Linked DNA regions of Lepisosteus oculatus. The protein of the gene in region 2 purifies or fractionates together with the protein of the main gene of each other region. This does not show direct contact. Links are inferred from orthologs where the notes say so. Each region holds a gene or a part of one and is shown on either strand. Other genes may lie near its edges. The genes, in order: eif6 and bccip.

Region 1 (7,497 bases), on a different chromosome or scaffold from region 2:
AGCAGAGAGAAGGGTAAGAACCTAAAGGTACCTTGTATATCACAATTAATGTTCCTCTATAAACAGAGGGTAGTGAGAAAGGCTAAGAGCATTAAAGTTCCAATTTCTCAGACTGGTTATTAAATCTCTGTAACAGAATAAATTAATTGACAATTTCACAAAATTTTACAAATTCCAAATTAAGCACAAATAGCGAGTTAGCACGAATAGCAACATGAAACAGCCCTTCCTGCTCACTAGTCACTATAATGACTAATTTACTGTGCTGTATGAGTGCATAAGCACAGGTTGTGCAGTGGACTTTTCACTGCAGAAATGTTCCAACATGATCAGCATGCACAGTTTACAAGTAGTATTTGTCAGTAAAACCATCTTGAAGTTGATGCACTGAATTCAATTCAAGTGTAGTTATTCAAATCAGCAGTCTTGTTCAAGTACCTAAAAACGTATTCTGCTTTGGAGTTTACATCATTATGAAGTCTAACAGTTCATAATATTAAATATATTTTCATTTCAGATAATGAACCATAACTTGTGCTCAAACTAGGTATCATTCCTATCATTTCTGCTGACAAAACCAACCAATTAAAAGAAAAAGCAGCAAGAGGGTGACATCAGTGCTTGACAGGAAATTAGAAAAACTCATGATTTAACCTAAGTTAAGATGTGCATTAAATATGGTTTTACAACTAGGAGCAATATTTCTATCAAAGAGATGCATTCACAAGCCTGCTTGTTTACAATGTAATAAAGCTGCTTCACATTTCCAGACATTTGTTGCCTCGTTTGGAGTTGCAGGCAATGAGAGCAATATGGTGCTACGCATACCTGCAAATTGTCTATTTTGTGATGGAAATTAAAGGTTTTTACATATTACTGTGTACTTTCTTTCATTATGGTTTGAAATCATCAGTGCCAATTCCTTATAACTCCAAAATGTAAAAATATCATTGCAGTTCCTCTTTTAGGGGTGTGTGGCACATCCCCTCCACTGAATTTACACTACTCCCATCTGGGAGATACCCATGTTCCCAGGTGCAACAGTGATTGACACAAGAAACCTTTGATCCCCTATGCACTATAACTCTCAATGTAAATAACGATGAAGCTCAAGTCTAGTGAGAAAATCCCTAATTTTATAACCAGCACTTTCTTATCCATCAGGAACCCCACTGTTACATAAGTAGCACAAGGATACATTTTGTCCTGCTGAAATGTTTACACAAAAGAAAAACCCACAGGAAGGGACGTAAGCGAGATCCAAGAACCTATTCAAGGCAGTGCTGTGTTGCCAAGCTGCCATAATTTACTTCAAGTGGAGTTCTGTTGCAACTATGTCCTAGACCCCTTTGATTAGTTTATTGGCAAATTACACATCTTTCCACTCTATATTTTGTTCTTCAGATGAAGGCAGAGTGGATAATGGATGTCAAATTCATGACACTGCGGTACTTACCTACACACATCCTTCCTATGATTCGACAGCCAGCTATGGATGCATGCACCACAGGAATGGTTTCTGACAGCTCACCTTCAAAGACACTGCAACCATGAGAACAATTTAAAAGAGATTACTCTGATCCACAATCAAAACTTTTACCACGTAATCCATTAACATTTCAAAAGTCATTAGCATTTCAGGATTTAAATTCCAGAACAGTTGCTAAACTGTAAACTTTCTGTCTTTAAAATTACAAAATAGTTATCATCCTGCAACTCACAACAGGCAACCCACTGAAGCTCAGCAGGTGTGAGCCTGGTCAGTACCTGGATAGGAGACCTTCTGGGAAAAACTAAGGTTGCTGCTGGAAGAGGTGTTAGTGGGGCCAGCAGGGGGCACTCACCCTGCGGTCTGTGTGGGTCCTAATGCCCCAGTATAGTGACGGGGACATTGTACTGTAAACAGGCGCCGTCCTTCGGATGAGACGTAAAACCGATGTCCTGACTCTCTGTGGTCATTAAAAATCCCAGGGCGTCTCTCGTAAAGAGTAGGGGTGTAACCCCAGCGTCCTGGCCAAATTTCCCATTGGCCCTTTACCAATCATGGCCTCCTAATAATCCCCCTCTATGAACTGGCTTCATTACTCTGCTCTCCTCCCCACTGATAGCTGATGTGTGGTGAGCGCTCTGGGGCACTATGGCTGCCGTCACATCATCCAGGTGGGGCTGCACACTGGTGGTGGTGGAGGGGAGACCCTATTACCTGTAAAGCGCTTTGAGTGGAGTGTCCAGAAAAGCGCTATATAAGTTTAAGCAATTATTATTATTTTTATAAAATAGGGGTGTAGCGTCAGAAAACAAACTTGTTCTGAAGAGACCGTATTCAGCAGTTTCAGTGATTCAGAATACAGATGTAGAACACCTAAACCTCTAATATGATATCTGAAGATAACGATAACTCAACACGTGCATTTTTAAACTAAGAGAAAAATGTTGACTTACCTGTAAAAGTTCTCCGAGCCCCCTATGGCTACTAGACAGTATCTGTTTGTAAGTTTGGCGAAACAGCCTATTTCATTGTTATTCTCAAAAGACGCCCGGACTGCCATGCCTATAGAGGTGATCACACCAGCGGCCCGCAAACTAGAACGACACATAATTCCATTAAAGCAAATGCAAGTTCACTTTTTTTTTTAAAGAATTTACCTGAACTCCCTTCGGAAATTCACCGGCAGCTTTGCCCGCTGTACTTTTAAATCGAAGTAGCTGAACCATTTACAAAAATGAGAAAATACGGATCTCACCATTACAGCGTTCCCTATATTCGAATTGGTTAGAAATGTAAATGAAACTAAATATAACTGTTTACAAAATCAAAAACGTAAATCATTAAGAGATAATGACAGCACAAAAAACATATAAACTCATGTTCCTCTTCGCTGTTTACTCGATTTTCTCTCACAGCAAAACAATATAAATTCCATAGGGACAAATTTAGTAATTTAAAACAATATTGTCATTTGAATGACTGATATGAAACCGTTTACAATAATCACAGTACCTGTGAAAGCTCTAAATGTTTCTGTATCGCTGCCTACACTACACCCGTACAACCAGGCCTCCTGCACTCAAACACGGCATGGCCCACACCCACGTGTCTTCTTCTGCTTCTGGGATTGCTGTGATGTCACGGGCTCCTTCGTATCAGATAGAGCTTTTCCACACTCGCCATTTTCCTCACAGGAAGTACTTCCTTTTGTGCTCTGTTTACATCCAGGTTAGTCTGTACGGGTCCATGCTAGATATCATAATATCAAATATTAAACGTATATACTCGTAATTCACAATTTGACTTTAAGTCAAAACAGCATAAAGTGAGCAAGCTACATTAAATTACATTATTTTTTACAATTAATTTTTTGGGATCTTACTTTAATTATATAAATCTGAAGAAATTTTATGTGGAAATCTCGGACTTTCTGTAGTATCAATTCAAGCTTTTCAGCTGGTAGCCATATCATTATTCGGAAATGGTAAGTTCCTTCCTTTCCTGTCCAAAGCCACTGGCAGGCACTGTACATATACAATTCTGCTCAAGTAGCTTCAGACAGCACAGCATGTACCTTGGAGGTTTTATGATAGGATGCTAATTTGTTAACACTAGTATACAGCAAAAGGATGCGAGGCGTCTAAAAATACTTTATTAAACAAGAGAATACTGTGTCAGATAAAGCACGTTTCTTATTTGAATTCAATTATTATTATTATTATTATTATTATTATAGTGGAGCTTTTTACAGCAATATTTGTTTTACTTTTTTAAAATAAGTTTTTATTTAAATACCAGAAATACAGAAAAAAGGAGACAGAAGAATGAAGTAGATACAGAAATAGACACTTCACAGCCAGAGGAATTCACAATTTTACAGCAATATTGCTCCTCGTCCGCAACGTCATCTGCGCAGCAGCTCCAAGCGCACGTGCCCCACCACGCGGCGAGCCTGGTCAGGCGTGTGCCCCGCGCGAGATGCAGCCCGGTGTGACGTCACTGCTGCAGCGACTTCTGCCTGGAAACTGCGAGCTCACCAGCCGGGCAGGGTCGCCGAATGGCCGCAAAGGACGTAGACAGACTTGTCATTAAGCACAATCTGGCTTCTTGTTAATTACGTGATCTCCTGCATATCTGCTGCTTTATGTAAGCATTTGAAATGGTGGAGGTTCCAGATTTATTTTGACCAGTTAGCCTGTTAAGGTGTTGTTTACTGAATATGATTAGGTATTTTAAATGTAATGAGCTCTGTTTTGTACGCTGTCTGTTATTTGTTTTAAAGTGTTTTCAGTTAGTAACGTCACGAGGTTAAATGGTATTGTAACAGTATTAAAAGCTTGATTGTGATCTGTAAAGTGTTGCAAAGGGCGTAATAGCAGATAAAGCCGATTAAAAATAGTGCACTCCTGTTTAATATATTATCTGATTTAGCAGGAGATAGATATATTAAACTCACTTTTCTTCTTCTGCACTTACTGAAGATCTTACAAACTCAAGTATCAGGAAACTTGTTACCAAGCAGATATTTATAAATATTTTCTCAGTTGATCCAGTTGGTCTTCTTTTCTAAAATGAAACATTAAACTGAAGCATCACGGTGTTAATATTAATCACATTTTGTAAATTTAGTCATTTAAATAAGAAAATCAAAGATTTTCCACCTATTTGTACAAGGTACCATATTTAATTTAGTTTAAACAAAGCTTAAAGATGATAGGGTCTAGTTAATACAAGTCAACAGGACCAAAGAATATAACTACATGTAATTCAGATGTAGAATTCATGTGTTAATTATAAGGAACTGGGAAACTATGTAATGCAATTTCTTTGATAGATTTTGAGATGCATCACTGTACTGCATCTGCACTGCACTTTTGGTTTAGTGTCCCTTGTCATCCCTTAGATGTCCAAAAGAGGTCAGTTTATCTTATGATTTGCATTTGAAGTGATTTGCCACGACAGAAACTGGTGATCCCATACTCCCAAGAAAGTGTATTTCTTAATAACATGTTGCATCATAGGTTTAGACTGCATTTCGTGTTTACTCACCAGTAAATGCCTTGAAACAAGTGCTCAAGTCCCATTTAGTCTTCAGCTAAATCAGCTGCTTTATTGTGTAAACAGATGCTCTCAAACAGCTCTCTGTCAGGGTTATCTTATAGATAGGTGACAGCAATCTTGTTCTGTACACCGATATTTCTGTTGTTTTTCAGAAAATGGGAGAAGGGCAGAGCAGAGAGAAGATTTCTGTCTCAGAGGATGCCTGTTCATCACTCCAGGATTCAAAAGTATTCACAGGACCACCTTCAAGCCCAACACCATCAGAGACCACCCAGAGACCAGAAGCAGACCTACCACAGTGTCAAATAGGGAATAAGAAAGTAGATGACATGTGTTTTATGATCACATGCACCAACTGGTATTAGACACTACACCACAGACTGAAGTCCTTGACGTTATGAAGTTGAATTTTGAGGAATATGTTTTTATGATGAGTTGATCCGTTCTGACATATCTTTGTAAAATTATTAAATATGCAGTTTTCGAAAGTAAAACTATTTAACTTTTTGTTTGTCTGTAGGTTAGAATGTCACACGTGCACCGTTCACCATAAAAGAGCAAATTGTTGCAGAAAAATATCTTTTCCACAGTAGAAAGCCATTGATTATCTTAAATGTGTGTTCTGAGTGTCTATGTGTATTTGTGACTGCAAATTGAAAAAAGTATTGAAAATTCAAGTCACTGTGACAAACTTTAAGACAGTGGTCTGATTCTTGACACTTATTTAATGAACAGGATTCCCTCATTGTGATGATGTCAGAACCATATTTATAGCACAGCAGCCAGTGCAGCTGGTGGAATCATGCTGATTTATAATAATAATTTATTAATATAATAACAATTCCATACATACCACTTTCCTGGACACTCCACTCAAAGTGCTTTACCGATAATGGGGACTCTCCTCCACCATCACCAATGTACAGCATCCACCTGGATAACAACGGCAGCCAAAGTGCACCAGTACACTCACAACATATCAGATAGAAGTGTGGAGATTAGATTGATTAAGCCAGTTCAGAGATGAGGATTATTAGGTAGCCATGATTGGTAAAGGACGGGGAAATTTGGCCAGGATGTCGGGGTAACACCCCTTCTATTTTCGAGAGACACCCTGGGATTATTAATGACTACAGAGAGTTAGGACCTCGGTTTTACATCTCATCCAAAGGACAGCGCCATTTTGCAGTACAGTGTCCCCATCACTATACTGGGGCATAAGTACCACCACAGGCTGCAGAGTGAGGGCCCCCTACTGGCCCTTCTAAGACCCCTTCAAGCTGCACCCTTAGTTTTACCCAGGAGGTTTCTCATCCAGCTACTGACCAGACTCGCACCTGCTTAGTTTCAGTGAGATATCAGTTGTAGGTTGCAGGATGACAAGGGGTGCTGGCAATTTCCAAAAATATTTTCAAAACGTTTAAGCGTTTAGGTGTCAGCGACTAGGATTCCTGAAAGCAGCGATATACTGTTGACTAAGCACTGCTTAGGTTGCGTGTGTTTCATTCAGTTAGAGTATCCATTACTGGCCATACAGCAGCAAACCAGGTGGCTTCCCGGGTGCCTGTGAGCTTCCTGTGTTGTTGGAGCGGCAGTTCTATATTGCTAACTTTCCTGTGGGCACTGTCAGGCCTGGAGCTGGAGAAGGTTTTGAAGGTCATGGCAGTGGTGTAATTAAAACTAAAAATGGGGTGGATGAGCCAACTGGCATTCTCTCATTTGCAGTTCTTAATGATTTTGTAAGCCAACACCATTTTCAACAGATGTGTAGCAATAGAAAATGATGTTTTCATACTTATATATTTAAGACTGAATTGAAAAGGCAGTAATTGAATAGGACAGGAATATTGATACAGTATGTGCAAAAGCAAAAACAGATTGTCATGTTGGTTCCTTTTTTTATTGACAAATTTATCTGAAATACAACACGGTGAGCTGTTCTTTGATACACAGTGTGAAATTATTAAAGAATAAAACAAAGTACCTTGCTCCAATCATTTATGATTAACATAAGAAAAATGTTTGCTTATAAAGCTTGTAACTCAACATAAAATGAGGTAAAACTTTTTTTTGTAGCAAAGGCAATAAGAGAAAAATGCAGTGTTAAATTAGAAATGTTTAAGCAACAGCAATAGAAAAAGTAGCTATTTTCCAGTGTGAGTAGATTTAATGAATTATTTACATTTTTCACAGTTTTGTAATGGGGAACATCAGAGTTCTGCTTTGATGTGGGCTGGATTTGTTGAGGTTGTTAGCGTTTTGAAGTGGATTACCAGTGCCATACCTCATAATAAACATCAGCTCAGCACATGTATTGGCAGAACATAAACAGGGTTTTGGAAATTCTCAGCAACAGGCGCTTGCACCTTTATGACAATTTTCTTACAATGGTATTAATTATTTGATCCAAGGAGTGGTTGTGCTTAGGGCTTGACTACACAGAAAGG
Region 2 (7,561 bases):
CACTGGCTCAGGATAAGCTCCTTAATCTGCTCCACACACGGGGTGTCCTGCACACCAATCGAAAGCAAACATGAAGGCACCAACAAGGGATGATTTCATTTTAGGCTGAAGATTTCATTTAGCTGGTTTCGCTGTGAAAACCACCAGAGAGGGGGCTGTTAAGCTTTAGCAATTTTTTTGTACAATCACATACTGGCAAACAACTTCCCCAGTAACTGCCTGGAGTGCTTACCTTCCTTTCAGTGAGGTTTAACAAACTAATGAATCCAAACACTTCATCAGGATCATCGTCATCATCACTATCCTCGGGTACTTCACCTTGCTGAAAAAAAGAGAAGAGCAGTGATCACAGTTATTATTAAATAGACCAAGACCGCCAATATCCCATCCACTAGTGTTTCAAGTGGATCGGCTTTTCAAAACTGTATAATGTGAAATAATAGATTGATCTCATTAGTAAAAAAGTGTTTTATTACAGATTTAAATTACATAAAATTGGACTGGCACAGAAACTAGTGATTAAAAGATCAAGTATCACATGTCTGCACTGTGCAATATATGCACCTAGAAATGTTTTAAAAAATTATCAAGGCCATTTAACAAAACAGCAACATAAAATGTATTGCAATACATGCCAGAACACTGCATAAAAGGTAAACAAACACAAGCCATTACACAAAAGCACTTTCAGTCAGCCAGTAGAGACACTCTGAACATGGTGAAGCAGCATTTTGCCTCCTTCTTGTTTAGGCACGTTTCAATCTCACCAGTGTTTTCCAAGTTAGTTCAAGATAGTTCTAGTCACAAACCCAAGGCATGAACTAAACTGTCAAGAATAACACCAGAATTCTTAACACCGTGAAAAAGGTGCCAGTAAAAGTCATCTAAAATTGAACAAATTTTGGTGATTAGCATTTTGAGACAGCTGGTGCCACATCACCGGAATAAAGGTGAAAGCCAAGTTTGCATTTCCTAATAGTATCACAAGGTGAAAACACATATGCATGTACTTTAAATGAAATATCAAAAAGCATACAGCAGTGTGAAATACTCACAGTACTGTCACTACCTGGTTTTTGCATATTGCTGCTGTTTGAATGCTGCTTAAAATAACAGCTACTACCCTTCAATGTGTATATTGCTGTTATTGTATAATGTCATGTATATTGCTGCTACATGTACGTTTATGCATACTGCTGCTACTGCTATTTTACATGCCACTTTCCACTATTTTGTTGGCACACATGCTATTGCTTTATGTTGTTGTCTCCAACAATTTGTGATGTCATTTGTATGTTATTTGTTCTGTCATTAATAACGTGAGGAAACACACAAGCATAAACATGACAAACAAAAACTTGAAATTTGAAGAGAGTATTAAAATTCTTACTCTAATGACACTTCCAATTTCATTCTGCTGGATGATGATATCTGTCAGCTCTGAAATGTTTACAGTGGCTTTCAAGAATACCTGTGAGGACAAGAGCATTTATACTTTAATTATTGTTAATTATGAATTAATAATAAACAACCTATGTCTGAGACGTACATGCAGCTAGAATAAAAATACATTACTTGAATACCTGCACCTCCTTTGCAGATATTCAAAGAACAATGACACGGACCTACCATCACAAATTCTAAAATCAGATCTTGCTAAAATATATAATATTTTTATATTTAAATACAAAGAACAAGCAATTAAATGTTATTTCCGCACTCTGTTGACATTTTTCATCTCCAAATCGCCTTCTTAAAAGTTTCACTGGCACCTGCAAAAATCCTGACAATTAAAGCAAAATTCTCAAAACAGTAATAGGTTTATTCCATGCTGAAAAAAAGAAGAAAGAGAACACAACGTTTCGGCCGTGGAGCCTTCTTCAGGTGTCACACCTGAAGAAGGCTCCACGGCCGGAATGTTGTGACACCTGAAGAAGGCTCCACGGCCGAAACGTTGTGACACCTGAAGAAGGCTCCACGGCCGGAATGTTGTGACACCTGAAGAAGGCTCCACGGCCGAAACGTTGTGACACCTGAAGAAGGCTCCACGGCCGGAATGTTGTGACACCTGAAGAAGGCTCCACGGCCGAAACGTTGTGACACCTGAAGAAGGCTCCACGGCCGAAACGTTGTGACACCTGAAGAAGGCTCCACGGCCGAAACGTTGTGTTCTCTTTCTTCTTTTTTTCAGCATGGAATAAACCTATTACTTGTTCCTTTGCAGCCTACGCATGCTGACGCAGCTACCCACCTGAACTATTCTCAAAACAGTTACCACCAACATTAAAACAACATTAATTTTGCTAACCGCTAATTCCTATGTTCAACTAACTGCAAATGTATTACTTGAATACATTTCACATATCTCTGCAATTTATCATTCTCACCGTTGTTGCTAACCATCAGTGCTTGTGGTTTTAACTAATATCCTCCATATGAAAATAATACATCGCTGAACTGATTACCGTTTCATCAAATGTTCAAGGTGTGCACACAAGAATGTCATTTCCAATGGACACCAGCAGCAGAGGGCGTTTTCTGTTACTTTATAATATATTATATATTTGACTATATACTATAGTATAGTCGACTATACATGATGTCTCATGAAATGTGGTATGGAAACATGATAGTAGTTATTTAGCTTTTAAAAACTGTAAACATGGTTCTGTACATTGCTAGTTGTTTTTGGTGTAGCAACTGTCATTTTAACGACGTTAAAGCATAATATATATTTACCTGTTGCAACAATTTCTTTATCCCGTTAAAATCGTTCTCGGAGATCGCATGTGCCTCAAAGTCCACCTTCACCTCCTATCAAGTAAAACAAAACACGGCAGGTCAACGGGGAATTGCTAACCACGTGGATACCACATTTTTATAGTCTTCCCCTATCTGTAATGTTTGTAAATATATTCTGAAACAGTTCATTGTTTTGCCTAACACGTCAAAGTTGTTGCTGTCTAGATACTGTAGGTAATTATAATAAATCATGAGATACTTGAGAATGCGATCTGGCCGTAAACCGCGGGAGGCTCCTACAACCTTAAAATCATATACAGTACCGTATGTATATATATTTTACCTCGTGTATCTCCTCATCGGAGTCTTCGCTGTCCTCCTCTCCCTCGGATGCCTCTTCCTCCGAGCTCTCCTCCTCATTCTCCTCCGGGTTGACCCCCATTCCTACGGCTCGCCTTTTCGCAGAAGAGGCCATGCTGCCAAAACACACAGAAGAGGAAAAGGAGGGGACCTGCACACGCAATTCTTACGGTTAAGTGGTGTGGGAAGCTGTAGAATTATGGACGCCATTTTGGCTCAAACTGTCTCTCGCATGAAATGTTCAACGTGGTAGACGCCATGGAAATGTGTTCAACCTCCACTCGATTTCATAAGGGAAGCACCGAAGGAGGAAGGGGAGGGTTTTGGTGCAAAGCACTTAAAGAATTCGAGGGGAGTCTTATTTATATAACATATAAGTGAAGATAACATACTTAGAAATAATGTGATACATTTTACAGTGTATATGACATTTATTATGGGAATGGTGATGGCATTTTTAAAAATGATTTTATTTTAATGTATTTTTGTCTACCTCTGTTCTTCACGATTCTTGATTTTTCCCTCGTTCTTCATCCGAGTTCTTCAGCGTAATTTGTTGTCGGAAGAACAGCTGTTCAGGCTGTGCTGCTGAAGTATGTCTTATAATTTCTGTTCTTGGGGCAGTTATCTATCCACTGCGTATACACAATCATCGTGCGAGTTGTCAGTAACATTTGTTTCAGGAGCAGAGATGTGGGGGGTCAATGAAATTAAACGTTGTAACGATTTCCTGTATCTGCTGTTTTGCGTCCCCAATTCGACCTTTGACAGAAATGGTGTTCAGCGATGTGTAACGTTTAATGTAGGATACTGCTCAACAAAGTATTTAATTACTGTGAAGGCTACGTATAAAAATAAATGATTGTATTGTCCGTGATCAGTCTTTTGCCAAATTATACGCTTTCATAAAATAAATTGATGCATACAAGCTTATAGAGTTAATGAAGAAGCTACAGTGACAAAATTAAAAATAAATGACTATGCTTGTTCCGAGTAAAATCCGCATCTCATTCCGTTGCTACTAACAGAACCTATGATCTTAAAATTGTTGCGTTTGTTCATTTCCTGCCTAACACTGTGGAGGTCAGAGGTGACGGGCTGGAGTATTATAAGGACAATATGAAAACCCCGCAACGAAGCTAATGTGTTCCAGACAGCTGAACACCTAGTCAGATTAGTAGCCGTCGTACTGAGAGTTTCAGGGTTTATTTGTGGGAAGAATACAGGGATTACCCAAGAGTTAGAGGGGGCAAATATGAGGAAGGTGTGTCATTTAAGAATGGCAGCTGACCAGCTGTTGTGGTATCATCCGTTGTGAAATAGGTGTTTCTCTTCCAAACACACCCGCCCGTTGCCTGAATCATGGCTTTGCCACTGCGCACACCATAGATTTGATCTGAACAAATGTCTGTTTAGTATTGTAAAAAAAGAGAAACTAAACGGAGGTTCAGTTGGGTTAACAACAGCACAGTTCAACTGACCTAAACTGTCCTAAATCATAATCATTCCTGGTATCATTTGATGAATTACAAACAAATATGAATACTAAACAAAAGTACCTAATCTCCTCCCAATCTGTCTTTTGCATATCTCCTTGATTTTTGCAGTTACACCTTGGTCACTTCTGGCTCTGCATGGAGGTCCCAGCTTCCTCCTGCTATGGTCAGGAGTTTTGCCCTCAGCTAAACAAGTCAAGCCTAGCTTACTGTGCTTATTACTAAACTTACTGAACTATACTCCACAACCGTTTTTCAAAGCACTAAATTCTTGGGTGCTGTTATTATTAAATTAATGTTTGTATACATTGCATACATTTTGGATATACATGGCAAAAGTAGAGCAGTGGGAATTTTGAGTTACGCTATCAGAAGAACAACGCTTGTCAGTTAGTGGGTGTGCACTGTGCTTACTCATGCCTTTGAAAACCGCCTCTGTGCTGAATGGCGATTGATAATCAGTTTTCTGACCATGAGGGAAGTGGGACATAGTCATTTCGTTTGTATTATATAATATTCTTATTGTCTGTTCATTACAGCTTTGCTAATTGTTTTTTTTAGACAGTGGTTTGTCTTTGCATTGAAGATGAATGTGCTCCTGTTAAAAGAATCCAAAGAAGCCGATTCCAGTTCTGACCCTTATGTAAAGGTTTGTATACTGAAAAACAAAGAAGAGAAGACTTTTGTGTAATACTTGTCTAAGTTAATAGGAAATAATAGCCAAGATAGATTAATCAGAAAAATGTAGTACTAACTGTGGCCGAGCACGCTCTGTTTTGTGATCTTTAAAAGTCTTCTATTTTGCCTAATTATCTCTCATTATTCCACATGTCATCTACCAAGTTCTTCCTAATTGCAGTGCACTTTTCATTCTTTTGTAGGAGCTGGCATCCTGTGGAATTAAGGCTACTTTGATACCTGTTTTGTCTTTTGAATTTGTGTCACTGAACACTTTGTCAGAAAAGGTGAGGGATAATCTTTGTGTCATTCCCCTGACATGATCGTACTGTTACAGGCTGTTTTTTTTTAAATGACAGTCATTCAGATCAAAGCCTGAATGCAAAAGCTATTCTAAGACACTCCGGAGTTCATAATGAATCACGATCAAATGAAGAGAAAATGGATACTGTTATTTTGTCTTATGATACCTTACAATTCCAACATTACACATTTTTCACATTTCTTAGATCTAATCTTCCATTCCTTTAGAAAGAAAACCTTCTTGTGTCAGCATGTGCTTTGCAGATCACATACAATGACTATCACAATTTCGCTGGAGTCTCACATAGTTACTGACAGGTTAAAATCCTTTCCATGAATACAGATGGGCTGCATGTTACAATTAATTTATTTACTAGTATATTCAAGTCTGATAAAACATTTTTTTTATTAGCTGTTTCACCCTGAGAAGTACGGCGGACTTGTCTTCACTAGCCCGAGGGCTGTGGAGGCTGTGAGAAAGTGCCTTGAGGACAAGGGTAGAAGAGATGGTAAGTGAATATGTCATAATGTTAAAATGGAGAACATGATAAAGATAGCATGGTGGCGATTGTGAATTGTTTTATACCTCTTGTTGGTTGACTAAAGGAGACTATGGAGTTTGGTTGGCTTGTAAATGTTACTTCACTGTCTTTACTTTCTGCCAAGCAGTAACATGGCCAGTTTTTCACTTGCAAAGATAGACTGGCACAGTTGTATTGGATGTTTTCATCTGGAGATCTTCATATTCCAGCTCTCTGAAGCGAAGCGTTGCAGGGGCTGTAAATGTCCCATAGATGTCAGCATTTGCCATATTCCTCCCTACACCTCTGTTGTCATGGCCAGTACAGACAATTCCACAAAGGGAAGTTAAGAGCTGTTGTCCTGTTGCTTTACACAGCTGGAGTATACACAAAGCAGCGATCTGGAACAATGAAGCCTGACAGGTGGACACATCAGAGATGTTTTCAGAGGTTTACGATATAGTGGTCAAATATTTACAAACCACTTTCTCTGTGAAAGCTTAGTTTGGATTATCTCTTTTCATCCAACTTGTCAGAAAGGTGGACTCATTCACCCTAATACATAAGTCACCACTGCACCCAGCTCAATAAAACAGCTCCCATTGAAGAAGAAGCCTTTTGTATTGTAGTTTCATTTTATCAGTTTGGTCAGAAATGCTTTTCTCCCCTCTTCACTAGAGAAAGCACTGGCATCACTGGAAGGTGAGCCTTATTTGCAATGCAGTGTCGACACTGCTCAAACATGAAGACAAAAAAAGGTTTCCTCTTAACAACAGCTTTGCATTTCACAGTTGCAGGACAGCCTGCAGCTAGAAAGATGTTTTCGTTGCAGGTACAGAGCCTCTTATTTTAACATGTGACAGGATTATACTGGACGATAAGACAGTTGACAAAAATTACAAATGTGTTTATGCAATACAACTAAATTAATCTAGCTAGCCTTTTTATTGAAAACTGAATCAACGATATGAGATGGATAGGAATTTAAAAATGCAAATGATTTAAATTAAGTGGTAAAATAATGATACAAAATAGTAAAAAAGGTGTAATGCTGGTGTTTTTCATTTTAAATATTTTGTAAGAAACCACATTTTTGTTCACAAGAGACACTCCAGTACTCTTTTAATATATTACTCCCTGGGTTTAATTTTCTGTCATGTGACAGCGTGCAAGCCATGAAAATTGGTTTCCTAGTGAGTGTTTTGACATTTAATAGGTGTTGAAATATGTTACTTTAGAATCTTTTAATAATGTGATGGCTTATCTGAAATAATAGAAGATGCATTTTTTCAACGAACCCCCATGATATCTAATTATTATTTTCCAGTCCTTCATATGCTTGTTAGCCACAATACACAAATGGAAATAAAACAAGACCAGAAGCCTGTGTTTAATTATAACCTTCACTGAACAAATGGTTGCCGCATCCCTGACAGTGATCTATTATTATCTGTGTATTAT

What was found.
Region 1: the proteins of bccip (region 2) and eif6 purify together in Homo sapiens (affinity purification with mass spectrometry; 3 studies listed by BioGRID and IntAct, counting the BioPlex papers as one, with this or other methods). This does not show direct contact. The link is inferred for Lepisosteus oculatus from reciprocal best matches to the Homo sapiens genes BCCIP and EIF6.

The regions. Positions count from the first base shown.
Region 1 is NC_090711.1:65,063-72,559, forward strand, and holds the start of eif6 (eukaryotic translation initiation factor 6), read right to left. Parts: upstream 3,106-7,497; 5' UTR 3,002-3,105; intron 2,584-3,001; 5' UTR 2,550-2,583; coding exon 2,443-2,549; intron 1,543-2,442; coding exon 1,457-1,542; intron 1-1,456. UniProt on the Homo sapiens protein: Binds to the 60S ribosomal subunit and prevents its association with the 40S ribosomal subunit to form the 80S initiation complex in the cytoplasm. Behaves as a stimulatory translation initiation factor downstream insulin/growth factors.
Region 2 is NC_090699.1:26,808,665-26,816,225, forward strand, and holds the start of bccip (protein BCCIP homolog), read right to left. Parts: upstream 3,218-7,561; coding exon 3,086-3,217; intron 3,067-3,085; coding exon of another isoform or gene 2,993-3,066; intron 2,815-2,992; coding exon 2,740-2,814; intron 1,472-2,739; coding exon 1,391-1,471; intron 323-1,390; coding exon 233-322; intron 48-232; coding exon 1-47. Other genes in the region: uros (uroporphyrinogen-III synthase), read left to right, coding at 2,993-3,066, 5,160-5,247, 5,480-5,563, 5,992-6,088. UniProt on the Homo sapiens protein: During interphase, required for microtubule organizing and anchoring activities. During mitosis, required for the organization and stabilization of the spindle pole.